Linked DNA regions of Saccharomyces cerevisiae S288C. The main gene of each other region encodes a partner of the protein of the gene in region 4 in a complex. Each region holds a gene or a part of one and is shown on either strand. Other genes may lie near its edges. A codon is read from its position in the direction of its gene.

What was found.
Region 1: the proteins of SSL1 (region 4) and TFB4 are in contact, whole or in part, in a cryo-EM structure (PDB 7K01), measured with the Saccharomyces cerevisiae proteins. Residues at the interface, in NP_013105.1 of Saccharomyces cerevisiae: Tyr118 (codon at 5,229), Gln119 (codon at 5,232), Arg120 (codon at 5,235), Ile122 (codon at 5,241), Phe317 (codon at 5,826), Thr318 (codon at 5,829), Leu319 (codon at 5,832), Val320 (codon at 5,835), Lys321 (codon at 5,838), Met322 (codon at 5,841), Gly323 (codon at 5,844), Phe324 (codon at 5,847), Pro325 (codon at 5,850), Thr326 (codon at 5,853), Pro350 (codon at 5,925), Asn351 (codon at 5,928), Leu372 (codon at 5,991), Ser373 (codon at 5,994), Thr374 (codon at 5,997), Leu376 (codon at 6,003), Ala377 (codon at 6,006), Arg378 (codon at 6,009), Ser379 (codon at 6,012), Tyr380 (codon at 6,015), His381 (codon at 6,018), Leu383 (codon at 6,024), Phe404 (codon at 6,087), Ser405 (codon at 6,090), Cys406 (codon at 6,093), Gln407 (codon at 6,096); in NP_015381.1 of Saccharomyces cerevisiae: Tyr85 (codon at 1,910), Pro88 (codon at 1,919), Glu89 (codon at 1,922), Ser90 (codon at 1,925), Thr148 (codon at 2,099), Gly151 (codon at 2,108), Ser154 (codon at 2,117), Ala155 (codon at 2,120), Leu157 (codon at 2,126), Thr158 (codon at 2,129), Tyr159 (codon at 2,132), Asn161 (codon at 2,138), Arg162 (codon at 2,141), Tyr193 (codon at 2,234), Ile194 (codon at 2,237), Pro195 (codon at 2,240), Met197 (codon at 2,246), Asn198 (codon at 2,249), Phe201 (codon at 2,258), Ser202 (codon at 2,261), Met206 (codon at 2,273), Asp271 (codon at 2,468), Phe272 (codon at 2,471), Arg273 (codon at 2,474), Val283 (codon at 2,504), Ala284 (codon at 2,507), Val285 (codon at 2,510), Gly286 (codon at 2,513), Phe287 (codon at 2,516), Ile288 (codon at 2,519).
Region 2: SSL1 (region 4) and TFB5 share a complex: the UniProt entries of both Saccharomyces cerevisiae proteins name them as parts of the 7-subunit TFIIH core complex.
Region 3: SSL1 (region 4) and SSL2 share a complex: the UniProt entries of both Saccharomyces cerevisiae proteins name them as parts of the 7-subunit TFIIH core complex.

The regions. Positions count from the first base shown.
Region 1 is NC_001148.4:669,469-674,909, forward strand, and holds TFB4 (TFIIH/NER complex subunit TFB4), read left to right. Parts: upstream 1-1,657; coding exon 1,658-2,674; downstream 2,675-5,441. Other genes in the region: exocyst subunit SEC8, read left to right, coding at 1-1,405; BRR1 (Brr1p), read left to right, coding at 3,003-4,028; YMC1 (organic acid transporter), read left to right, coding at 4,283-5,206; chorismate mutase ARO7, read right to left, coding at 5,393-5,441. UniProt on the Saccharomyces cerevisiae protein: Component of the general transcription and DNA repair factor IIH (TFIIH) core complex, which is involved in general and transcription-coupled nucleotide excision repair (NER) of damaged DNA and, when complexed to TFIIK, in RNA transcription by RNA polymerase II.
Region 2 is NC_001136.10:602,955-605,432, reverse strand, and holds TFB5 (TFIIH complex subunit TFB5), read left to right. Parts: upstream 1-1,621; coding exon 1,622-1,840; downstream 1,841-2,478. Other genes in the region: VPS41 (Vps41p), read right to left, coding at 1-1,425; PET100 (Pet100p), read right to left, coding at 2,034-2,369. UniProt on the Saccharomyces cerevisiae protein: Component of the general transcription and DNA repair factor IIH (TFIIH) core complex, which is involved in general and transcription-coupled nucleotide excision repair (NER) of damaged DNA and, when complexed to TFIIK, in RNA transcription by RNA polymerase II.
Region 3 is NC_001141.2:80,010-89,804, reverse strand, and holds SSL2 (TFIIH/NER complex ATPase/helicase subunit SSL2), read left to right. Parts: upstream 1-6,763; coding exon 6,764-9,295; downstream 9,296-9,795. Other genes in the region: tropomyosin TPM2, read left to right, coding at 90-575; REV7 (Rev7p), read left to right, coding at 1,089-1,826; AXL2 (Axl2p), read right to left, coding at 1,968-4,439; chaperonin-containing T-complex subunit CCT2, read right to left, coding at 4,920-6,503; kinetochore-associated Ndc80 complex subunit NDC80, read right to left, coding at 9,656-9,795. UniProt on the Saccharomyces cerevisiae protein: ATP-dependent DNA translocase. Component of the general transcription and DNA repair factor IIH (TFIIH) core complex. When complexed to CDK-activating kinase (CAK), involved in RNA transcription by RNA polymerase II.
Region 4 is NC_001144.5:155,172-163,406, forward strand, and holds SSL1 (TFIIH/NER complex subunit SSL1), read left to right. Parts: upstream 1-4,877; coding exon 4,878-6,263; downstream 6,264-8,235. Other genes in the region: NOC3 (Noc3p), read right to left, coding at 1-1,163; CMS1 (Cms1p), read right to left, coding at 1,684-2,559; THI73 (Thi73p), read right to left, coding at 2,763-4,334; mitogen-activated protein kinase kinase kinase SSK1, read right to left, coding at 6,584-8,235. UniProt on the Saccharomyces cerevisiae protein: Component of the general transcription and DNA repair factor IIH (TFIIH) core complex, which is involved in general and transcription-coupled nucleotide excision repair (NER) of damaged DNA and, when complexed to TFIIK, in RNA transcription by RNA polymerase II.

The DNA.
Region 1 (5,441 bases), on a different chromosome or scaffold from region 4:
TCAGATGACTATGGATTATTTATTCACGGTTGAAGTAGAATCCAATAATCCGTACGCCTTAGAGCTATCCGATGAAAATCATAACATTTTTAAAACAGCATTAGATTTTCAAAGGTTATTTTACAATTTATTGAATGTTTTCAACACAGCAAACACATTTAGAGAAAAAATATCGTACTGCATTCTAGATCTTTTGAATCATTTTTATAATTACTACTTGGGGCTATTTAATTCCTTGATTGGTACTTCTGATAGACATTTAACTAGGAAAATAATTACGGCATGGTTGCAGAATGGTATTTTGATGGATCAAGAACAAAAAATTCTGAATGGGGATGAGACACTCTTTCATGAAGAATCCATAGAGTTATTTAAGGAAATACCTCATTTCTATCAAGCGGGTAAAGGTTTGAGCAAATCTGATTTATTCAATAACTTGACATTGGACACAATTCTGCAGTTTTCGGCAAGCGTGTTATGGATATTAAACTGGCTGCCAGGCTTAAAAAAGGCTATCAATATTGATGAAGTAAGCCAAGAACCCATGTTAGATGCTGATAGATTAAGGAGCAGCTGGACATTTTCTGAATCAATGGATTTAAACTATTCGAACCCTAGTTCCAGCCCAAATTCATTAGGAAATCTAAAAATTTTATTGGATGATAAAGCCTCCAAAAAATTTGATGAGACTATCGACGGATTCAAAACCTTGAAATTCAAACTAATCACTATACTGAGGTTCAACATTAGGGCCTTGTGTATATACGACATCGGGTCTTTTTTTCAAAACACCAAAATTTGGAATATGGATGTGGGTAGTATTGAATTAGATCAAAATATAGCTTCTCTAATTTCCGAATTAAGAAGGACTGAAAGCAAATTGAAACAACAGTTACCAGAAAAGGAAAAAAACTCCATATTTATTGGTCTTGATATAGTCAACAACTACGCCTTGATTAAGGGTGCCAAATCCATAAAAGTTTTGAACCATAACGGGATAAAGAAAATGTTGAGAAATGTAAATGTCTTACAACATGCCTATAGAAATCTTTCTTCTGAACCATCAAAAATTAATATGAACGTCACAATGAATTTTTACTCTTTATGCGGCTCCAGTGAAGCTGAACTATTTGAATATATAAAAGACAATGAATTACCGCATTGTTCTGTCGAAGATTTGAAAACCATATTGAGGCTGCAGTTTAGCGAGGAAATGCATCGTCAATTGAAGAGACAAAGCACTAGCTCAACTAAGGGTTCCATAAAACCTTCCAATAAGAGGTACACTGAAGCTTTGGAGAAACTAAGTAACCTCGAAAAAGAGCAGTCGAAAGAAGGAGCCCGCACCAAGATTGGAAAACTTAAAAGCAAATTGAATGCTGTCCATACTGCAAACGAAAAATGACATTTTTAGTTTGTGTAAAATTAATTTGATAAATAAATGAATGAAAATGATCAATAATAAGCGAATAACTATATTTTTAATTACCTTATTTTTACAATATTTTTCACTTGCACTTTTATTTTATTTTCAGCGCGCAGCTCGTCTTGTTCTGTTGAAATTCAAAGATACCTGAAGGAACATTACAACATCAATCAACACTTGAGTAGAAATATACACGATCCAATAAAATATACTGAAGCGAAGCAATCAGAAATGGATGCAATATCTGATCCAACGTTTAAGCATGCTAGATCAAGAAAACAGGTTACTGAAGAATCACCATCTTTGCTTACCGTTATTATAGAAATTGCACCAAAGTTATGGACAACTTTTGATGAGGAAGGAAATGAGAAAGGAAGTATAATAAAGGTTTTAGAGGCATTGATAGTATTTCTCAATGCTCACTTAGCGTTCAATAGCGCCAACAAAGTAGCAGTCATTGCTGCATACTCTCAGGGAATCAAATATTTATACCCAGAGAGCACATCTGCTCTAAAAGCCTCTGAATCTGAAAATAAAACCCGTAGTGATCTTAAGATTATTAACTCAGATATGTATAGACGTTTTAGAAACGTTGATGAGACGCTAGTGGAAGAAATATATAAACTATTTGAGTTAGAAAAGAAACAAATCGAACAAAATAGTCAAAGGAGCACGCTAGCAGGTGCCATGTCAGCTGGGCTGACTTATGTAAACAGAATATCAAAAGAGTCAGTAACTACCTCATTAAAATCAAGGCTACTTGTTCTTACGTGCGGGAGTGGCAGTAGTAAAGATGAAATTTTCCAATACATCCCTATAATGAACTGTATTTTTTCCGCAACAAAAATGAAATGTCCCATTGATGTCGTAAAGATTGGTGGTTCTAAGGAAAGCACGTTTTTACAGCAAACGACGGATGCCACAAATGGCGTTTATTTACATGTTGAATCTACAGAAGGGCTAATTCAATATTTAGCAACTGCAATGTTTATTGATCCGTCGTTAAGACCTATAATTGTTAAGCCAAACCATGGATCTGTAGATTTTAGGACATCATGCTATTTAACAGGGAGAGTTGTTGCCGTTGGATTCATCTGTTCAGTTTGCCTATGTGTCTTATCAATCATACCGCCCGGAAATAAATGTCCTGCTTGTGATTCTCAATTTGATGAGCACGTAATTGCCAAGTTGAAGAGGAAACCAGTTGTTCCAAGGTTGAAAGCCAAAAAGAAGGTGACGAAACCATGAACGAAAGGAATGAACATTATCCGTTTCAAGCAGGTAACCTTCGTCACAATGCATCGTAATAATACATAAAAAAAAATTAGCTTTAAGCACATGTATATTGGACATTCCACAGAAAAAAAAAAGCTTTTGATGTGATTAGCTTAAGACGTTGTGTCATCTTTGAACTGTTTTGACTTCAATCATATCGAATTTGATAATATAACTATCTATGTACTGTCTGGGTGCATCGCTGTTGTTGCTTCGGTAGATTTATTAGTTCGCTTTGGATAATGTATCATACAATAACATTGCCAACATCCATCATAACAGAAACATTAGGTGATAAACAATGAAAAGAGGAGAAAGCCAGGCGCCTGATGCCATCTTTGGTCAATCTCGTGCATTTGCACTATCTGATTCTTCAGTGAATCCTGATGTCATTGAATATCTTAAAAGTGTTAGGCAAGAAGCACTAAGAACCAACGCCATATCGATTAAGAATCATATGAATCTGCAAAAGAGGACGCGTCACAAATCAAGCATGTACGATGATGAGGATGAGGGGGCCCTTAAAAGGCACGCCATCTCGCCATCCTTGATTAGGCTTCAAAGGAATGTAGAAATATGGGTAAGGTGGTTTAACTCTGTGAAGGCGACGGTGTTGACTAATGCCTACGAGTTTACCGGTTATGAGGACGAAACACTGGATCTTTTATTGCTTTTCTTAAAGAATTATCTCGAAGATATGCCCAGCAAATGTACTACAGTTGAAAAAATTATAAGTGTCCTAAATCAGCATTCCTTTCCTGAGAAGGCAGAAGAGAAGGAAGAAAATCTTCAGATTGATGAGGAATGGGCGAAGAATATTTTGGTACGGCTGGAAAAAACCAAGATTGACAGTGTTGAGGATGTAAAAAAAGTAATCACTGAAGGAGATAAACATGAACTAGTTGGATACAACCAGTGGTTCCAATACCTTATAAACAATGAACCGCAGCATACTACTTTTCATGAAAAGATTACCTCTAAGCAACTTTGGGTTCTGATCAAGTATATGTCGAATACATGGATAAAAGAAATACACAAGAAAGGAAGGCATTATCGTCGGCTGCAAGATTGGCTATTCTACATACTGGTACATACACCCGAAAGAGTCACGGCAGAATATACAAGCATCTTGAGAGATCTTGGAAAGAAATGCCTTGAACTGATTCAAAAGAAGCCAGTTGAAGCACATGAGAATAAAATAACACTCCCGAAGGAGATGGCGGAATTGAATGTTGAGATACCAGCCGCGGTGGAGAATATGACGATAACTGAGCTGACAGTGTCTGTTATAGCAGTGAACTATGGTCAAAAAGACTTGATAGAATAATGTAAATAAATTTCTTATGTAGTTTTTTACAGGAAGTAAAAAGTGTTATTACTTTGATTGACTCATTCTTACATTTACTGATAGGCCGAAGATAAGCGGCGCCCTAAGAAAACTCGAGCGCAAATTGTCAGCGATGATGTAGCCATGCTATAGCATCAATCAATGTCAATAAGCTAATAACAACTATCATCTATACTCCAACGCAGCTCTCTTGTTTAGGTTTCTCGTCAATCAAATTCGCATCACGAAGAAGTATGTCTGAAGAATTTCCATCTCCTCAACTAATCGATGATTTGGAAGAACATCCACAGCATGATAATGCTCGAGTCGTGAAAGATTTGCTTGCAGGTACAGCGGGTGGTATTGCGCAAGTGCTAGTGGGCCAGCCCTTTGATACGACAAAAGTTAGGTTACAAACATCGAGCACCCCAACAACAGCCATGGAAGTCGTCAGAAAGCTGCTTGCCAATGAAGGGCCTCGCGGGTTTTACAAAGGAACTCTGACGCCATTAATTGGTGTTGGTGCATGTGTTTCATTACAATTTGGTGTTAATGAAGCTATGAAGAGATTTTTTCATCATCGCAATGCTGATATGTCATCGACTTTGTCATTGCCACAGTATTACGCATGTGGTGTCACAGGCGGTATAGTAAACTCATTCTTGGCGTCCCCAATTGAGCATGTCAGGATTCGCTTGCAAACACAGACTGGCTCAGGCACCAACGCAGAATTCAAGGGTCCTTTGGAATGCATCAAAAAATTAAGACATAACAAGGCCTTGCTACGTGGTTTAACACCTACAATATTGAGAGAAGGTCATGGATGTGGCACATATTTCTTAGTGTATGAAGCGTTGATTGCTAACCAAATGAACAAAAGACGTGGACTAGAGAGAAAGGACATTCCTGCATGGAAACTTTGTATTTTTGGAGCATTGTCTGGCACTGCCTTATGGTTGATGGTATATCCATTAGATGTCATCAAGTCTGTCATGCAAACGGATAATTTACAAAAGCCTAAATTTGGTAATTCTATTTCCAGTGTAGCCAAGACTTTATATGCCAATGGAGGGATAGGCGCTTTTTTCAAAGGGTTTGGTCCTACCATGCTAAGAGCTGCTCCCGCCAATGGTGCCACTTTTGCTACTTTTGAATTAGCGATGAGGTTATTGGGTTGATAATTCCTATAGAATTTATGAGCCATCGTTTAAGAAAATAGTACAATATAATGTATAACTTGAAACTCTATCTTCTTATATTCAATAGATGCTACTATGCGTACATATATATGGTGAGTGTGTGTGTTTATATATGCGTAGTAATCACTCGGCAATGTGGAATTGTTACCGTGATAGCCTTCATGCTTACTCTTCCAACCTTCTTAGCAAGTATTCCACCTCAACTTCCTTAGTG
Region 2 (2,478 bases), on a different chromosome or scaffold from region 4:
GTGATAATCATTTATAGACAATTTTTCATAGTTTTTCATGATAACTTCATCATTATAGATTTCATCACCATTAAAAAGATCAACAATTTTTAATTCTGGAGCATTCCCTTTGGCTAATAAGTTTTCTGGCCGCTTGCTAAAATTCTTCCCCTCCTTCATATCTTCATCTATGGTTGCTTCCTCTTCAATATCTATATCAAAACCTAGGCATAATAACTGATCATCCTTAAACGATGCAAGCCCTGTAATCAACATTGACACAGTAAAATGGCATTCTAATTCAACTTTCTTATCAGGTGTCCCTCTAAAACTCGATGCAGCACTAGACAAGAGAGATCCGATGTTTGTCGTAGGGTTAAAATGACTCATATTATTACTTTGAGAATTAGAGTCACCGGATTTGATCGAATTTGAATCCTTGGTAAAGGAAACTTTAAATAGCCAAATATTAGATCCCCATCCGATAACGACACGATCACTTTCTAAAAAATGAACATGGGGTCTAAATAGATCTGGCCTTACATCCTGTACGTTAAAAATTCTGGAGGGGAATGGAATATTCAAAAGCTGTGATCTTGTAGGAACATCGCAAAATGTTATTCCATCATCATCCATCCATAATATAAGGTCACCCATAGTATAAATTCCCATGATAGGGCCCTTCATATCAGAGGATAGGTCATCTTTTCTTGTTTTTTTCTTTTTCTTCTTGTTTAAAACGATGTCGATTCTATTTCCTAGCCAATTTCTCTGAGATAGTACAACGTCGCCAGCCATTCCACCAGAAACAAACATTCTGGATGCTTGAAAATTTGAGTGCAACGCTACAGAGTTTATAGGTCTTTTGAAATCGTATTGTGTAATGTTTTGTGGATCATCCATCGATCCGATAATCACTGTCCCGTCAATAGATCCCGTAGCAAAATATTTTCCGTCAGTGTTAATACAAAGTATCGAAGATCTATGGCATTTGATGGTTTTAATGGGTTCGAACGCGCATGTAGTTAAGTGTAGAATGCCTGAGTGTGTACCAAATGCAAAAAAAGTATCACCAAATAAACATGAAGAGATCGAGTCTCGTTGAAAAAAGTTCTTCGGGAGTTGACTAATTCGTGTGTACTTCAATAAGGGGGGCTCATCTTCGTCATCCTCATCTTCATCATCGTCATCATCATCATCATCATCATCATCACCTGTTTCTGCATCCGTCGCACTTCCTGTTATTGTACTCTCATCTGTTCGAGAAGCTACTCCATTTTCCGCTTGTGATATGCAACTAACACTTTTTGTTGGTGAAGTTACATTAACGTCTTCCCTCTTATTATCAACATTATTCTCGTCAGAGATGGAATTACTCTCATCAATTGTTCGTTCGCCTGATTGTTGATCCAAAACAGAATCATTCTGATGATTATCTGTAGTCATTAATGTCTAATAGTAGGTATATACTCTTCGTTAAAATGCTTTTTTATTTTGCATATATATTTTACAACAGTCTCAATAGCCCTTTTAATTTTTCTTTTGTATCGTATTATTGAAAAAAGACGAGCAAACTGCAGTAAGATAGAAGTGTACTCCCAATAGAGACAAAGCCAAGATACTTTTGTAAAAGAACGAAAAAATGGCTAGAGCAAGAAAGGGTGCACTGGTTCAATGTGATCCATCCATCAAGGCGCTCATATTACAAATTGACGCCAAGATGAGTGATATAGTACTAGAGGAGTTGGATGACACCCATCTTTTAGTAAATCCCTCGAAAGTCGAATTTGTTAAGCATGAGCTAAATAGGCTATTATCTAAGAATATATATAATCCTATGGATGAAGAAGAAAATCAGTAATTATTGCTCATTCAGCTTTTTCAATACTATTTGAATAGAGCATGACCTGCATAACCAGGTCAGACATGAATATAGAGGGGAAGTGATGATCTAGTGGAAATACGACTATACAGGTATGTACATGTTAGAATAATAAATATAAGGAAGAAAAAGTGGTCAGGTGCAAGTATACATCTTTAACCGTTTTCTTTTCTCATCCTTTTTTGAGAGCCAAATCCCGTTTAATTTTTTCTTTTTCCTCCTCAAGGTCTAAACCAAACTCCTCTTGTATCTTTTTCTCCAACCTAAGCCTTTTCTCTAAACGTTCTTTTTTCATCCTTGCCAGTTCAGCTTTAATCTCATAAGGCTCTTTTGGTATTTGGTTCAACGTTGCAGGATCTGGCCAAAACCCTGGAACATTTAATTTTTTATCAGTATCTGTACCAATATAGTACATTACAGCAACAGGTGCTAGCAAACAAAATGAAAATCTAAAGATCTCCAGTTGCGCCCTTGTATATTTAAACTTGAAGTTATTAAATAGACCCATTTTGTACTTGTCGAAGTGATTACTTTTGTTTGTCAGCCCTTATTAAATTGTTATAGAACAGAAAATATCAGCAAGATGCGCTGATATATTGGAATTATACGGGAAAAAA
Region 3 (9,795 bases), on a different chromosome or scaffold from region 4:
GGTATAAAAGAATGTAAACATAAGGAATATTAATCTAGTAATTTTTTTCTCATGAGGTTGAGAAAGCATCTAAAATAGCAATTAGCAAAATGGAGAAGATCAAAGAGAAATTGAATAGCTTAAAATTAGAATCTGAGTCATGGCAAGAAAAATATGAGGAGCTGAGAGAACAGCTCAAAGAATTAGAGCAATCTAACACTGAAAAAGAAAACGAGATTAAATCTTTGTCCGCTAAAAACGAGCAACTCGACAGTGAAGTGGAGAAGTTAGAGAGTCAATTGTCTGATACAAAGCAATTGGCTGAAGACTCCAATAACTTGAGATCTAATAATGAGAACTACACCAAGAAAAACCAGGATCTAGAACAACAGCTAGAAGACAGTGAAGCCAAACTGAAGGAAGCAATGGATAAACTGAAAGAGGCCGATTTGAACTCTGAGCAAATGGGTAGAAGGATCGTTGCTTTGGAAGAAGAAAGAGATGAATGGGAAAAGAAGTGCGAAGAATTCCAAAGCAAATATGAAGAAGCTCAAAAAGAATTGGACGAAATTGCTAATTCATTGGAAAATTTATGATTCCCATTGATAAGACTAAAATTACGGAAGATACAAACGACAAACGCGCTAAAGGCAACGGAGGTGATGATTTTATTATTGCTCACACAACTGATGTTGCTGACAGATGGCAAATCCTTTTCATTTTAGTTATTATCATTGGGTGCTTTTTGGAAAAAAGATGAACTAAGCCTCTCTTTATTTCGTCCATTTTATTCTAGCTTTTACATTATGCTTTCACCTTTACCAAAAAATAGTATGTATTTCTTTTCCCCTTGCTATAAATCAAAAGTACGTAGAAACATAAACAGGCGAGAAATACATATGCATATACGTCTACACTACTAATTTAATTTCCACTTTCTTAATATCAGTCAATCGAAACCACTAGCTTTCACACTAAGACTAGACCCTGTTTAACTAATATAAACTTTTCCAGAAAGCTAAAAAAAAGGTCGGAAAAAGAAGGTATACGTTTTTGCGACGACTGAGATCCAAGAAGAAAAAAAAAATAGTAATCGTTGCGTCAGCTTTATGAATAGATGGGTAGAGAAGTGGCTGAGGGTATACTTAAAATGCTACATTAATTTGATTTTATTTTATAGAAATGTATACCCACCTCAGTCATTCGACTACACTACTTACCAGTCATTCAACTTGCCGCAGTTCGTTCCCATTAATAGGCATCCTGCTTTAATTGACTATATAGAAGAACTTATACTGGATGTTCTTTCTAAATTAACGCACGTTTACAGATTTTCCATCTGCATTATTAATAAAAAGAACGATTTATGCATTGAAAAATACGTTTTAGATTTTAGTGAATTACAACATGTGGATAAAGACGATCAGATCATTACGGAAACTGAAGTGTTCGACGAATTCCGATCTTCCTTAAATAGTTTGATTATGCATTTGGAGAAATTACCTAAAGTCAACGATGACACAATAACATTTGAAGCAGTTATTAATGCGATCGAATTGGAACTAGGACATAAGTTGGACAGAAACAGGAGGGTCGATAGTTTGGAGGAAAAAGCAGAAATTGAAAGGGATTCAAACTGGGTTAAATGTCAAGAAGATGAAAATTTACCAGACAATAATGGTTTTCAACCTCCTAAAATAAAACTCACTTCTTTAGTCGGTTCTGACGTGGGGCCTTTGATTATTCATCAGTTTAGTGAAAAATTAATCAGCGGTGACGACAAAATTTTGAATGGAGTGTATTCTCAATATGAAGAGGGCGAGAGCATTTTTGGATCTTTGTTTTAAGTGCAAAAATGAAATTTGAAGAATGGAATTAAAATTAAATGTCTCTAAGTATAAAAACTAAATAAAATATAGGGTATCTGTAAACCACTAATAAAAAATAAAACAGGAAAATAAAATTAAGCAAAATATCGTTGCGTATAATCACAGCATTTCTGGGATGCGTCCGTGAATGTCCTTAACTTGACCAACATTGACATTACTCTTATTTGAAAAATCTACTAACCTTTTCTTACTTGGTCTTCTGTCTGGTTCCATGCTATGGACCCAGCAAAAATTTTCACCATCTTTAACCGGAACAAAATCGTCAGAAGATGAAGTTGACATTGTTGTGGGAGTGATTCCGTTTTTACCGCTTTGAGAGTCTTGAATATTTTGTAAGTGGCGGTTACGATGCTTCGTTACGTTATATGGTGATGGTGTTACTGATTTTCTTACGGGAGAAGGGCTAATATTGCTGTTCCAAGGGTCCAGTGAAGACATAGTGACATCCCTTGACGTACGTTTTTCCTTCTCTGGTGCTTCTAAATCGAAAAGTTTTTCTGTATCAACAGTTTTTTGTGATCCGTAACTGTCTCTGACAATATCAGAGACTGGTGACAGGTTGCCAGTATATCGCCAGGATTTATTTACTGCTGGTTCACTATCCATATACACAGAAGAAGACCTATTCTGTGGGTCAAAGAACGGGCTCTCTGGAGGCTGTACTGGGGGTTTTGCTAATAATTCTTCTTTACTTTGGGATTGGAACTGATCATTGTATGTATTCATACCTGATAGAGAATCTCTCTTTTCATCCACGCTGGAAATATCAGATTCAGTGGCAGAGTGGTTATCCAATTTCAAAGTGTTCAAAGCAGCCAATCTTCTTGCTATTGAAGTATCATCGTACGAGGAAGCATCATCATCAAAGGGGTTGTTCAAAGGTGTAGCGTTTTCTTGATTTGGTTTATTTGCAGGATTATTCAAATCAGGTCCACTAATAGCATGCGGTAAGTTTTCATCGTCTGGATTTTCCCTTCTGCGTCTCCAGAATATTAGGAAGCAAATGAGAGCTACTAGGATAACGCCTAATGGGATAGCAACACCGCACGCAATTGCTACTGCTTTTTTATTGTGAGATGAAGTTTTATTGGCTGCTGGCAGCGCTGCTGGAGCAGAAGAAGTAGCAGCAGCGGAGGTAGAAGAAATTTTTGCAGTGTAAGTAGAAGATGTGTAAGAACTTGTTGAGGTGGAGTGGTGAGAACTTCTTGTGGACGTTGCATTCGCACTGTGGTTTGAGTGAGTTATCTTTGAATCCATGCCAATGATGTTAAAATATAGCTCTTGAGATTGTGAACCTTGGTTCGCTTTCAAACCTAATGAAAGCTTGTCGAAATTCTTGGGCACTTCTCCAGCTAATGTTAAATTAGATGATTGGAATTTCACCCAGTCATGGTCTTGGCTTGAATTAGTAAACTCTAATGAAACGTTTGTATTCACGTAGTCTGTAAACTGAGAAGGCAAAAAATAGTAGGAGAACCATTCACCCCTTGTAGCGTTAATATTGGGAAGAGAACTAATGGCAAACAAATCCGTTGTGGAGACAACTTCGAAGTTGAAATAAATCACATCACCATAAGTATCATAAATGGACACAGAAAAATTGGCAGGATTGGAGTTCTTACCGAGTAATTCATCTGGGACAGACCCGGAAATGGTAGCATTATCTAATGCCACCCAGTCTGGAGCATCCAATAAGTTTATAGAACCCAATTTATCAGAAGAAATAGGATCGTCATCGAGATAAACATAGTTTAGAGGTAAGTCATATGAAACGTTACCTGTGTCAGTAACGTTGATTATCAAACTATTTTGAATAGAGGTAGTTAACTGGTGAGCCCCGATGACTAATTCGAATTCTACCTCAACGGCAGAAAATCCTTCAATGTCTGTAGCGATGATGACAAAACTGTAGCTTGTTTCTGGAGCAATCGCCGAGTTTATCACCGGTGCCGTCCCAGTAAACTTCAACTCGCCAGAATCGAAGAACAGCCAATTGGGTAACGGCGCATTATACAACTGAGAACGTCCGTAATACGACACAATGGATTCTTCGTTAGTGAACATTGAACGGTCAAAAGTCACGTTGAAGACTTCATTAGGATCTAGTTTCAGAGCGTTTTTGCCGTTAGTATAACCATAGTTTTTTAACAACGCCAATAGATTGAAATCTGACGATAGCGAGATGGATGGACGGTTTGTAACAACAAATTGGTATGTATTGTTCAAAGACGTGCTGTCGGCAGAGTCCGTACCCTCGAGTATTACATTGAAATACAACGTGGTGTTCGCATCAGATAGTAAGTCAGAAGAAGGTTCACCTGAGAACGTTCTAGAACTAGAGTCAAACGAAAGCCAGCTCGGTAAGTCGAAGCAATTGTATGTTATTTGAGCTGTCTTGTCTACAGACGATTTATAGGTATCATTGGAAATTTGAAATGTAAACGATTCATTGACTCTTGCCACTGGGGGGTATTGTTTTCCGATAGGATATGCCTCATAGGGCGTGGCCACTACTAGATGGAGTAGTGATATAGTAGCTGTCAGCAATAATGAAATCTGAAGCTGTGTCATGGTAAGTGAATGCTTCTTGATATACGTAGATGTTGGAAGCAGGAAATCGTTTCGAGGAAGATATAATTTTTCTATTAAGTAATTGTTCTGTTCTTCTAGTGATGGTGGCTGTTGCAGTGTCAATCACTACAGGATGTGAGAGTAAAGAATAAGAAAATAAGTTCTCATATGAAAAGTGAAAATTACTCGACAAAGGAGGGCGACTCTCGGCAAGGAGCTTTGAGGTTGTGGAGATGCTATCTTTAACCATACCTACGATGGGTATTATTACATTCTTGAGACAGGGCTCGAGTACTGCTCGAAGAGGAAACATAAGTTGCCAAAATTTATTTGTGACGCGAATTGCCAAAAGTTCTATGACGCGTTGTTCTTTTTTTTTCGCGTCTTTGAATTATATAGTGGATAATTTTTGCGTTCTGTTTCTAATTATAATAATGACAGTGTGGCGGTTTATTATTTTCGAGGTATATCCTAAATATGTTACATATGTTGTCTATTGGCGGTTCTTGGTCTTGCACGGATGATGTTATCCACCCTTAGTAGAACTTCAGCGGCTTCAGATGCAGAGCTGACTACTGCTCGTTTTAGCTTGTAACTCTCGACGATACCTAACTGTCTCATGTCGGCAATGGTTCCGTTGTTGAGATCTAAACCTGAGGTGGAGATACCGTTGTATATGGAGGATCTTAGTTTGGACACAAGTTCGCTGCTGTCAAAACCAGCATTATCTGCCAAAATGGTTGGCAGTTGTCTCAGAGCACGGGCAAAAGCCTCCACGGCAAGGGACTTCTTTCCGTCGATGTTTTGAGCTTCGGTGTCCACAGCTTTTGACATGACCATCTCGGCGCAACCGCCGCCAAGAACAGTTCTTGTTTCCTTTGTGGTCTGTGACAACACGGACAATGCGTCATGCAGGGATCTCTCAGCTTCATCAAGCGTTTGGTCGGTAGCACCTCTTAGGACGATGGTACAAGCTTCACCAGCTTTGCAACCACTAAACTTCAAGAATGGCTGTTCACCAAGCATAATTTCCTCGATCACGTCACATTCTCCCAGTTTGCATTTACTTGGCTCGTCAAATGTAGACACCACCTCACCGCCTGTAACCAGGGCGAGCCTTTCTACACCTTCAAAATCAGCATGCTCAATTGAGTTTATGCCCAAATCTGTAAATAATTGCTCTGGATAGTCATAAATTAGTTGTCTATTGATGAAAGTGTTGATACCAAACTTGGAAATCTTGGCAATTTTATTCTTCATCTTTTCACGTTCTGCCTTTTCTAGTTGTGCCAATTTAGCAGTAGAATCGACTTTGAATTTGGTGCCGAATATTTTGACCTTGTCTGTATCCAAAGTTGTATTGGCGATTAGAATCTTAGCATTTTCAATTCTCTTGGGTTGGTTGTTACCAAATTTTTTGGCAAGAATGAAACCTTCGTCAAGGAACGAATCTGATAGCTTTCCACCAAGAATCTTAATGATCTGAATATGTTCTAAGTTAGTGGAGCCCTTCAATCTCAAAATAGCATTAGTTGCTAATTCTGCGAAGTGATCCTTATCCTGAGACAAAATTTTGGAAGATAAAGTAGTCTTGGCAATATGGATCAGATCTTCACGGAACATGGTCTTATCATGAGAGTTGTCAACAGCCGCTTTCGTTAACGCATCCAATGCGGCTGCTGAAGCTAGTCGGTAACCTTCAATAATAGTTTGAGGGTGGATTTTGGATTGATCAATCAACTTCTCTGCTTCTCTAAGCAACTCTGCGCTCAAAACAGTAACACTAGTGGTACCATCTCCAACTTCGTCATCCTGCACCTTACTGATGTTCACCAACACTTTGGCTGCGGGATTATCCAGCGGAATTGACTTCAGAATCGTAGCACCATCGTTTGTTACCATGCAAGTGTTACTGGACGCACTTTGCAATAATTTATCCATCCCTTTTGGGCCTAATGTGCTTTTCACCAAATCACCCACGGCAATGGCACCGACAAACGCCGACAAACGGGCGTTTTCCGCTCTTTCTTCTGTAACCTGGTCTCCAAATATCTGTACACTCATCCTGAATCTTTTGAGCTTTGTACGACTGACTCTTCTTGCCTATTTAATGGCCACCTTTCATCCTCTTTTTTATTGCTCTGCTCTTGTCTTTTAAACTCGCCACCGCGAAGAGAAAAAAATTTCAGATCGTTAGAAACGAGGTTTTTCTTCTAAGAAGTATAAGGAAAAAGGTCCTTAGTAAGGATAGATAATAGTAATGATATCTACATTATTTAGTAAAAGTAGCATCTACTGACGTTGGAATCAGTGGAAGATAAATCATGACGGACGTTGAAGGCTACCAACCTAAGAGCAAGGGGAAAATCTTTCCAGATATGGGTGAGTCCTTTTTCTCATCAGATGAGGATTCACCAGCTACTGATGCAGAGATCGATGAGAACTATGATGATAACAGGGAAACGTCAGAAGGACGTGGAGAAAGGGATACCGGCGCCATGGTAACAGGGTTGAAGAAGCCTCGGAAAAAGACCAAGAGTAGCAGGCATACAGCGGCGGATTCCTCTATGAATCAAATGGACGCTAAGGATAAAGCGCTTTTGCAGGACACTAATAGCGATATACCAGCAGATTTCGTTCCAGATTCCGTCTCTGGAATGTTCAGAAGCCATGACTTTAGTTATTTGCGGTTAAGACCAGACCATGCTTCCAGGCCCCTTTGGATCTCGCCAAGTGACGGTAGGATCATTCTGGAGAGTTTCTCTCCATTAGCAGAACAGGCTCAGGACTTTCTGGTCACCATTGCAGAGCCTATAAGTAGACCCTCCCATATTCATGAATACAAGATCACAGCATACTCTTTGTATGCAGCTGTTTCTGTAGGGTTGGAGACGGATGATATCATTTCAGTTCTGGATAGATTATCCAAAGTACCCGTTGCTGAATCGATAATCAACTTCATTAAAGGGGCTACCATTTCATACGGTAAAGTGAAACTAGTTATTAAGCATAATAGATATTTCGTGGAGACTACACAAGCAGATATTCTGCAAATGTTGCTGAATGATTCCGTCATCGGGCCCCTAAGAATAGATAGCGATCATCAAGTACAGCCACCAGAGGATGTACTACAGCAACAACTTCAGCAAACCGCTGGAAAACCCGCTACTAATGTTAATCCGAACGATGTGGAAGCCGTGTTTAGTGCAGTTATAGGTGGTGATAATGAGCGGGAAGAAGAAGATGATGATATTGATGCCGTTCACTCCTTTGAAATTGCCAATGAGTCTGTTGAAGTCGTAAAGAAAAGATGTCAAGAAATCGATTATCCCGTGTTGGAAGAATACGACTTTAGAAACGACCATAGAAACCCGGATTTAGATATTGATTTGAAACCTTCCACTCAAATCAGACCCTATCAAGAAAAATCGCTGAGTAAAATGTTTGGTAATGGGCGTGCTCGTTCAGGGATTATTGTTTTGCCATGTGGCGCAGGTAAAACTTTGGTCGGTATTACCGCAGCATGTACTATAAAAAAATCCGTAATTGTTTTATGTACTTCATCAGTCTCCGTCATGCAATGGAGGCAGCAATTTTTACAATGGTGTACCTTACAACCTGAAAATTGTGCTGTTTTCACCTCTGATAATAAGGAAATGTTCCAGACAGAATCCGGTTTGGTTGTTTCCACTTATTCAATGGTGGCAAACACAAGAAACAGGTCTCATGATTCACAAAAAGTTATGGATTTCTTGACCGGTAGGGAATGGGGGTTCATTATTCTTGACGAAGTTCATGTGGTGCCCGCCGCAATGTTCCGTAGGGTGGTCTCCACCATCGCAGCACACGCCAAATTGGGACTGACCGCAACGCTGGTTAGAGAAGATGATAAAATTGGTGATCTGAATTTTTTAATTGGTCCAAAACTTTATGAAGCAAATTGGATGGAATTATCCCAAAAAGGACATATTGCAAATGTCCAATGTGCAGAGGTTTGGTGTCCCATGACAGCAGAATTTTACCAAGAGTATTTAAGAGAAACTGCAAGGAAAAGAATGCTACTGTATATCATGAATCCAACAAAGTTTCAGGCATGCCAATTCTTAATTCAATATCACGAAAGGAGGGGTGATAAGATCATCGTTTTTTCAGATAATGTTTACGCCTTACAAGAATATGCTTTGAAAATGGGAAAACCATTTATTTATGGTTCCACACCACAACAAGAGCGTATGAACATTCTGCAAAATTTCCAGTACAATGACCAAATCAATACCATATTTCTATCAAAAGTTGGTGATACTTCCATCGATTTACCAGAAGCTACCTGTTTAATTCAAATATCTTCGCACTATGGGTCTCGTCGTCAAGAAGCCCAAAGATTAGGAAGAATTTTAAGAGCTAAAAGACGTAATGACGAAGGTTTCAATGCGTTCTTTTATTCTCTGGTTTCTAAGGATACGCAAGAAATGTACTACTCAACAAAGAGACAAGCGTTTTTGGTAGATCAAGGTTACGCATTCAAAGTCATTACACATTTACACGGAATGGAGAACATTCCAAATTTGGCATATGCTTCACCCAGAGAACGTAGAGAGCTATTGCAAGAAGTATTATTGAAGAACGAAGAAGCTGCTGGTATCGAGGTCGGTGATGACGCTGACAATTCTGTTGGGAGAGGTTCAAATGGCCACAAAAGATTTAAATCAAAGGCCGTTAGAGGTGAAGGTTCATTGTCTGGTCTTGCTGGCGGTGAAGATATGGCATATATGGAATACAGTACCAATAAAAACAAAGAACTGAAGGAACATCATCCATTAATCAGAAAGATGTATTATAAGAATTTGAAGAAGTGAATAGGCTTGGTTTCATTGTCACCTTCCTATTTTGAATCTATTCAGTCATAATACCTTTTTGTTCCCACCGTCTTCTTATTCTTTCGTCGCTGTTCTTTCTTTTATTGATTCGTCACGTCCATTTTCTTCCATAATATAAAAAATAAAAAAAAAATAGAACATTCCTAATTAAAGCATCCAAATATACTTACATATATTTATTTTAAAAATAACTACATATCAATACTTACTTAAATTGGTTTGGAATACTTGAGAAGGGGAGTGAGGGTGGAATTGAACAAAATGCAGGTTATTAAAATGCGGAAAGGTGGGGCTGAGCTTTGCTGTAGATTGCTCGGGTATTATATATCATTTATTTTATTAATTTGTTACGTTATGTTCAGTTTCAAACTCCAAATTTCGTAACTCTTCAATGACGTTTCCTAATTCGTTTTCAGAGTTTTCCAATGACGATTGAATATTAATTTTAAATTTACTTGTTATATCAATAACATGTATCA
Region 4 (8,235 bases):
CGCATTTCTTCCTCAATTTGTTGCATCTCTTTTCGAGCTTTTCTTTGCTTCTTAGAAAGATGGACCCTATCTTTCTTTTTGAGCTTAGGAGCGCTAACGTTACCTTTCAATTTAGTATTAGGGTCATAGTCATGTAAGACATCTAACGATAATAACATATTTAAAACAGATTCTTCGATGTTGAAGTTCCTCGTCTTTAGTATTTTGTTGAAAATTCTTAGTATCTCGAATGATATTGAGCCCTCTTCGTCCTCATTTAATAGAGTTTCAAATGTCTGGATTATTTGAATGGAAGTTGGATCTGTTGAAATTCTTGGTTTACAAATTCTACGCAACAGTAAAGTGAAAATGTCTGTTCTAAAGTTGAAATGGGATGCCGTTGAAATCAATTCTTTTGCGGCTTGAGTGGCCAAAATCCCTAATGAAACCTGTATAGGAGCAGCATTACTGGGAGTTTTTGAAAGACTCTGTAATCTTCCGACGTAATTTTTGTAGTTATAAACTAAGGCTTGCTCAAAGTTTCTAAGCTTGGAGACTTCTTTAGAAACTTTTTCCTTCTTTTCAGTTTCAGTTAGTGGTCGAATTCTATAGCCTGGTATGATACTCTTAAACACGGGGACCAAAGCCAACATGGAAAACTTACAAGTATTAGGATTTTTAGATTCCACCATTTTACATAGACGCCCCAACGCAGCAGTATTTTCTTCAGGCTCCTCCATAACTTTAGTGACTAAATCGGCAATGTCTTCTTTTAGTTGCAGAATTTTTTCCTCCGTATCAGGCTCATCCTCCTTTGCCTCTGCTTCTTGTTCTTCATTAGGTCCCTCATCATCTTCTGAAGAGTCATTAGAGTCTTCGTCTTCCTCATCATCGTCCTTTGGTTTTTCTTGGGCTTTATGCAATTTTCTTTCAACTTTACCGTTAACTTTTATAGGCAGGCCTTCAACAAGATTTGATGTATCAGACCGATTCTTCCGAGGAACCATTTCGTAATCCTGTTCTTCTTCATCCCAGGATGAGCCTTTTGCGCTATATATGGTATTTTCATCCATATCTTCCGGTGCATTTTGGAAAACATTGCCTTCTAACAAGGAATCTTCGTGCTTTCTTTTCTTTGCAGTCCTTTCCTGAATGCGAAATTGAGATCTATTTCTCTTAGCCATTATTACTATGATATCTCCAGCTTTTATCCCGGAATTATACTCTTATGATTGAAGACATAAAATGCCAAGTTTATACCATGAAAATACTATATATGGCAGGCAGGTGAATGAGATGAGATAAAATTTTCAGTTTTCGGGCATCGCTGAAAAAATTCAAAAACTAAAGTAAAACGACGTCCCATGGTCTACTCTACGGTGAAGAAAATGAGGGAAGACATTGAATTTCTGAATCTAAGTAACTACAAAAAAGCATACACTCCATGGAAAGAGTAAAATAGGATAAATTGGTTTTATGTAGTTAAAGAAAAAATACATTGTTATATATGGAGTTTGCTGCGCGCCTAGGCGTTCTCGAAGTTTCTCCTTTGATTTTACTTTTTGGAAGGGCTTTGGACAATTTAAAGAAGATAATTTGAAGTACCCCATCAAATGCTAGAATGAAATATTTAATATACTAAATTAAGGCTGGTATTTAAAAACGTAATCTTATGTGTAGAACCTCAGTGAAAAAGCGCTATTATTAATATAACAGTATTTTCACGGAGCTTTTTTTATTCAAAAAGGTTTTCAAGACTTGGCAGAGGACGGCTGCATTCTCGAATGATAATATAGTATTATCCTTAGGATCTAAATAACTTGCATCAAGAATGATATCTAACTTTTCCTTACCTTGGAAAAGTAAGTCAGTAGCTTCTATAATTTTCTGCATTCTTGTTGGAGTGGCAATAAAATATAGTGAATCTTTATTTTTGTTTGATTTTTTAGAGCTGTCAGTAAGTAAACGTTCCACGGTGGCTATGTCATCCTTTAGTTTACTTTTAGAGAATAATTTGACGCAATTTTTGCCACCGTTTAGACTACGATAAACGTCTGCTACTCTAATATTAGACATAGAAAAAACAATTTTTTTTGGAGCTACGGAAAATTTTTGAATAAAGGCTGGGAAATTGCTTAATCTGCGTTCAGCGTCAAATTTTTCTGTCGAAAGAAAATCATTTCTTTTGAAGTAAAGTTCCTCTAATTCTAAAACACTCAAGTCAGGATTTTTTTCTCGTATCAAAGTTGTTAGGTACTCAATAATTTTTTCTGGTGAACTTGCTGGAAGTGCTTTTCGTTGTGAGACGATATACTGGCTTTCCTCTTTCTTTTTCTCAATTAGCTTTGATTTTTTCTGTAGCTTTTTCTGTCTTTTCGAAATAGGTCTATTCGAATCATCTTCTGAATTTCTCTCCTCTTTTTTCCCATCTATATCATCAACGTCATCGTCATCTTGTTCTATAGACCTCTTTTGTACCTTTTTGGTTGGGGGACTACCATCCTTGGCGTCAAAAATTACTTCATGTTCGGCATCAAAATCATAGGCGAGTCCATCATCTAAATCATCTGGATTAGACATTTTCAGCTCAATTGTCCTGACGATATGTTTAGAAGTTAGTAGCGGGGATCAAATTTCGACTTTCATTGCCTCATCCATGGTCATCTCAAAAATTTTCTCTTCAATTTTTTGGTAAATACCAAGTGCAATGAATGTTTGGGTGTCTTTGAATATTGAATATTACAGACTAAAAATATTATATATTGTAAATTAAAAGTTGATTATTAGTAAATGTACCTGAAATTTCTGTTTTCGATATCAGTCAAGTCCAAAAATTGGTACTTCTTCCTTTCTTGACCTTCTTGTTCCTTATCACGCTTTTCGTTCTCCTTCTTGCAAATGTAGCCAATGTATAATTGTAGGGGAACACAAACACACTGAGTGACCAATAAGGCAATCTTTGCTGGTATGTAACGTGGAGCAGAGTATGCCCTAAACATCTGTGGAGCAATAATACAGGAGACATTGTATACAATCATTGTAATAGCATTTCTAAAAACTCTTTTGGTGTAACCGGAGGTGTTGCATGAATTCCAGATGTAAATATTGGTAATGACACAGGAACCACTGTAAAGCAAGTACAGAGAAAATAAGTTACCGATCTTATGGGATAAGGGTAAACTGATAAGAACGATACAACCTATAATAGCTGGAATATACATAGATGTGGTTATGAGTGTGATATGACCCCAGCGGGACAACATTTGAGTTGTTATAAGAATAATCATAGCCGTAATGGCACCAATAGGCAACTGCAGTAATGCTGTTTCGTACTTGTCGAAACCAAAAGTACCAGTGATGGTCACTGAAAATGTACCAATGGCACCAGTAGAAATTTGAGAACATGCAGTTAATAAAAGCATCGGCCAAGTAAACTTATCATGAAGGAATAGTTCTTTAACTTGCTGCTTCTTAAACTTCTTTGTTTCCAGGCCAGTTTGGTTAGCTCTGATATGCTCAACAACTTGAATTTTTTCCTCTTTGTTTAGGAACCAAGCATTGGTGACGTTATCTGGAAGGTATAAGAATGTTAGAACACCAAACGCAACTGTAACCAGACCAACGACCAAAAACATTATTTGCCAAGAGGTGAAAGCGGTACCATGATAATGTAAAAAGCCAAAAGAAATTAACCCGCCCACAATATAACCTGTACCAGCCTGTGTGGCCCAGAATCCAATTCTTGCACTCTGTTCAGATTTAGTATAGTACATACCACTAATAGCGATACAACCAACTGCACTCGAGGATTCAAAGAGACCTAGGAGAGTACGAACGACCATCAACGAGGCGTACGTCTTACAAGCAGCATGGCAAGCCAACACGATACCCCAGACGGTAATAAAAGTACCTAGGATTTTGGAAATGGGGAATTTTTGAATTAAGTAAGTGACCACAGGTTCCATGAAAATGTAAGCAGCAGAAAAGATAGTACCCAAATTAGAAAATTCGTTACCTTTCAAATGATCTTTGATACCCATAGATGCAGCGTAGTTCAGCAGAGCCTTATCCAAAAACATCAGAAGATATGTACAGCATAAAAAGGGCAGGATGAAGAGGTCAACTTTTCTCAGGACCTTAGGAGATAATTCATGGGAACCATAGAAGTTGGCTTCTTCGCCTGCTACAACATCGTCTTCATTAGCCGTGGAGCTTTCGTCGAGACCGTTCTGTTTCAGGAATCTTAAAGCAACGTCCGCATCGTCTACATTAATGCTCGAGGTACTTACGGAACAACTATCAGCGTTAGCTGCCTTCTTCTCCACGTCCATGGATCGTTGTGACATGTTTTTCATTGTATTGATTTGCTGACACTCTCACTACTTCTCAGCAACAACAAAGTAAACTTTAATCTATCATACTTTGAACTATCTTATATACGTGTATATATGCACCCGCTGAGATGCTCATCGAGATTGCTCATCACCTCTGAAAAGGCTGTCTGTCACCACCATGTTTTCCGCCGGACCAAATGACAGTTCCTTAAGGGAAACTCAAAGAGACTATATTAACTAAGGAGGATCAACCAGATATGCAAAAAAAACAAATAGTTATGACGGCACTCGAACCAACCAAACACCACCCTATAATTAATGTTGATAATGATAGCGACTCGAAATTTGCCAATAAAACCTGTCTATTACGCGTCATCTACTTGAGAGTAATATACTGGAAGTTCGAGATACTCCGCACAGGGTCTGGGTGGTAGGTTTCTTTGCTATTGTATAGTTTTTCAAGATACGTAAAAGGTCTTCATCTTATCTTATATAGATGCAGGTGATTACTAGTGGGGCAAGTCGGCAGCTAATTGCGTGTGTGCGGAAGGATTGTGCAGTAGAATGGCTCCTGTAGTTATTTCAGAATCTGAAGAGGATGAGGATAGAGTTGCCATTACTAGAAGAACTAAGAGACAAGTTCATTTTGATGGCGAGGGAGATGATCGTGTAGACCAACAGCAACAGCAGCACAGTTCAAGCCACAGGGATAGGGATAAACATGTGCAGCGTAAGAAGAAGAAAAGGCTCTCGAATAGAAACCTGCAAGGTTCAAATGGTGGGTACGCTTGGGAGGATGAGATCAAGAGAAGTTGGGATTTGGTGAAAGTGGACGATGAAGGGGATATGGCATCTCTTGTGGCTAGCATAGTCGAGGCCAGAAAGAAACGTACTGCTAAGAAAAACATAACGCCATACCAAAGAGGTATTATCAGAAGTTTAATATTAACACTAGATTGTAGTGAAGCTATGTTGGAAAAGGATTTGAGACCAAACAGGCATGCCATGATTATCCAGTACGCCATAGATTTTGTCCATGAATTTTTCGACCAAAATCCGATATCTCAAATGGGTATTATCATAATGAGAAACGGTTTGGCACAACTGGTCAGCCAAGTTAGCGGAAACCCGCAGGATCACATTGATGCGTTGAAATCCATCAGGAAACAAGAACCGAAAGGAAACCCTTCATTGCAAAATGCATTGGAAATGGCAAGAGGCCTTTTATTGCCTGTTCCTGCGCATTGTACAAGGGAAGTACTGATTGTATTTGGTAGTCTTTCCACAACTGATCCTGGAGATATTCACCAAACTATCGATTCGTTAGTTTCTGAGAAAATTAGAGTGAAGGTTTTGGGGTTATCAGCTCAAGTGGCCATATGTAAAGAATTATGCAAGGCAACGAATTATGGTGATGAATCCTTCTATAAAATTTTACTCGATGAAACTCACTTAAAGGAGCTATTTAACGAGGCTGTTACCCCTTTACCCGTTAACAAAATTAATAAGGGTTTCACACTCGTAAAGATGGGGTTTCCGACAAGGATATTCGAAGATACTCCAACTTTTTGTTCGTGCCATTCCAAGTTAGTTTACGGCGGATACTTCTGTCCCAATTGTCATAGTAAAGTTTGTTCATTGCCCACAGTCTGTCCATGTTGTGACTTGATGCTAATCCTTTCTACCCACCTGGCCAGATCATATCACCATCTGATGCCGTTAAAAACATTTGCAGAAGTACCTACAACAGAAAAATTTCGATCAGAAGACTGCTTTAGTTGCCAGTCAAGATTTCCCATACTGAAAAACCATAAAAATGGTAAACTACTGACAAGTTCTCGCTATCGTTGTGAAGATTGTAAACAAGAATTTTGTGTTGACTGCGATGTGTTCATCCATGAAATCCTTCATAACTGCCCAGGCTGTGAATCCAAGCCCGTAATAACTTAACGAAAATCTGTCAGCGTATAACACGATCACTCTTCCATCATATAACAAATCCAAGTAGTAGAGAACGAAATAGTTTTTGATGGACATATAACTACATAATTATTACAAAAATAACCTCATTTAATGTCCTATTGTTTATTACGAGAAAATCTTAATAGCACTTACGGCATTAAGAATATTTATTACTATTTTCAATTTATCAGGCACTTATTCAACTAAAAAAAAAAAAAAAATTCTTTGTTTTACAATAATATTAATAATTATTTTGAATAAATATCGTTACATTCTATCATAATGTCCTCTACACGGTACAACCAAACTCACAATTCTATTTGAGTGGGCGAGAGGTTTGAATTTTTTCTTACTGGGCTGTGTGTAGGGGTCATAGATGTCGCTTGTTTGAATGAGTGAGGGTTGGAAGGTGCAATAGGTTTCTGTGGAGATTTAACCAAAACACTGTCGGTCATCCGGCTTTCTCCCTGCTTCCAGCTGTCAAAATCAATCAAGGCTTGCATACATCCCCACTCTGTAATTTTCTTACTAAGCCAGTGTAAATTCACTGGTTTAGTCAGGTAGTCGTTACAACCAGAAAGAAGTGCTTTTCTTTTATCCATCTGAGAGTTAGATGCGGTCAATGCTACAATAATCACGGGCGCCTGAGAGAATCTCTTTGAAGTACCTTTTTCAAGATTGGAGTGTGAGTTATTGAGACTTTTTTGAATGCCAATGCCATTTTGTTTTTCGAAGTCCCTAATCTGCTTGGCAGCTTCTATACCAGACAAGACAGGCAGCTGTAAATCCATAAATATTAAATGAAGACCGCCTTCCTTCCAAATATTAACAGCTTCTTGACCATTTTTAGCCAGTTTATATGAGATTTTGTGTTTCCTCAGAAAGGAACCTAAGATAGCTTGGTTGATGACGTTGTCTTCAACTATTAAAACATTAATTTTGGGGAAAACTTTTTCACTTGTGGTGGTAAAAAGGTTTGGTAAAGGATCTGGTGGAGAGGAAACAGCAAAAGGTGCGTTATAAAGCGAGTTTGAGTAATGCGGCGTTTGACTACTTGTTAATATTGGTGATGCGGGCGTAACGTCTTCTTTTCTTCTTTGTACTTCCGACATGGGTTGCGTTATGCCTATACCAGCTTCATTAAGTGATCCGCTTTCTTGCGAAGGGGATCCGGTGTTCACTTCTAACTCTGAATGAGTAATTGTGTCTTCATTATTGAAAGATGAATCCGTGTGGGCCACTGGTTTATTTCGAAAATCTACCCCTCCTTTATAACCTTTTGGTAACAGCAAGATTGCTTGCCAAGGAGACTCGGCATCCTTTTCCTCATCCTTCAGTTCTTGTGACGCTCTTCTCAATTGCTCTTCATCAGTTATTAATTTAAATTCCTGAGGGCTGCTATTGCCATCTTTACCTTTAAGATCTGCTTTATCACCAATTGTTTGCTTAAGACCTTGTTCGCCCGGAGAAATATGGTCGTCTAGATGAAAAACACCAACGGCCCCATGGTCTGTTGGTTGAGTTTTCTGCTGCGAAATTTCTTCATTCGTAGGAACATAGTCTACAACATTTAAGATATCTAAAGGCGGTACATCCTGGCGTAAATTAACATTCGAAAATATCAGCAAAGGCTGCGATGCAGGTTGGGAACCCATGGTTCCGAATAGTTCCTTATATATGTTAATAGCCAATTCATCCGGTTCAAAGATGATTTTATAAGTGCAATCATTAACTGATTCTGTGGTAAAATTTAAACCTTTTCTAATCAACGGCCTTGTGTATTTATTTTTATTATGCGGTGAGACGTATGTAAGACCAGCTGATGCCATAATTTGATTATCAGAATGAAATTTAGGGTAGGGTGAGACTGAGGCAAATCGCAGTAACGGACTTTTAGTTGTTGCTGGAAACTGTTTAGGACTAGTAGAGTATGGTCTTTGCGGGCTTAGCATTGGCGCCT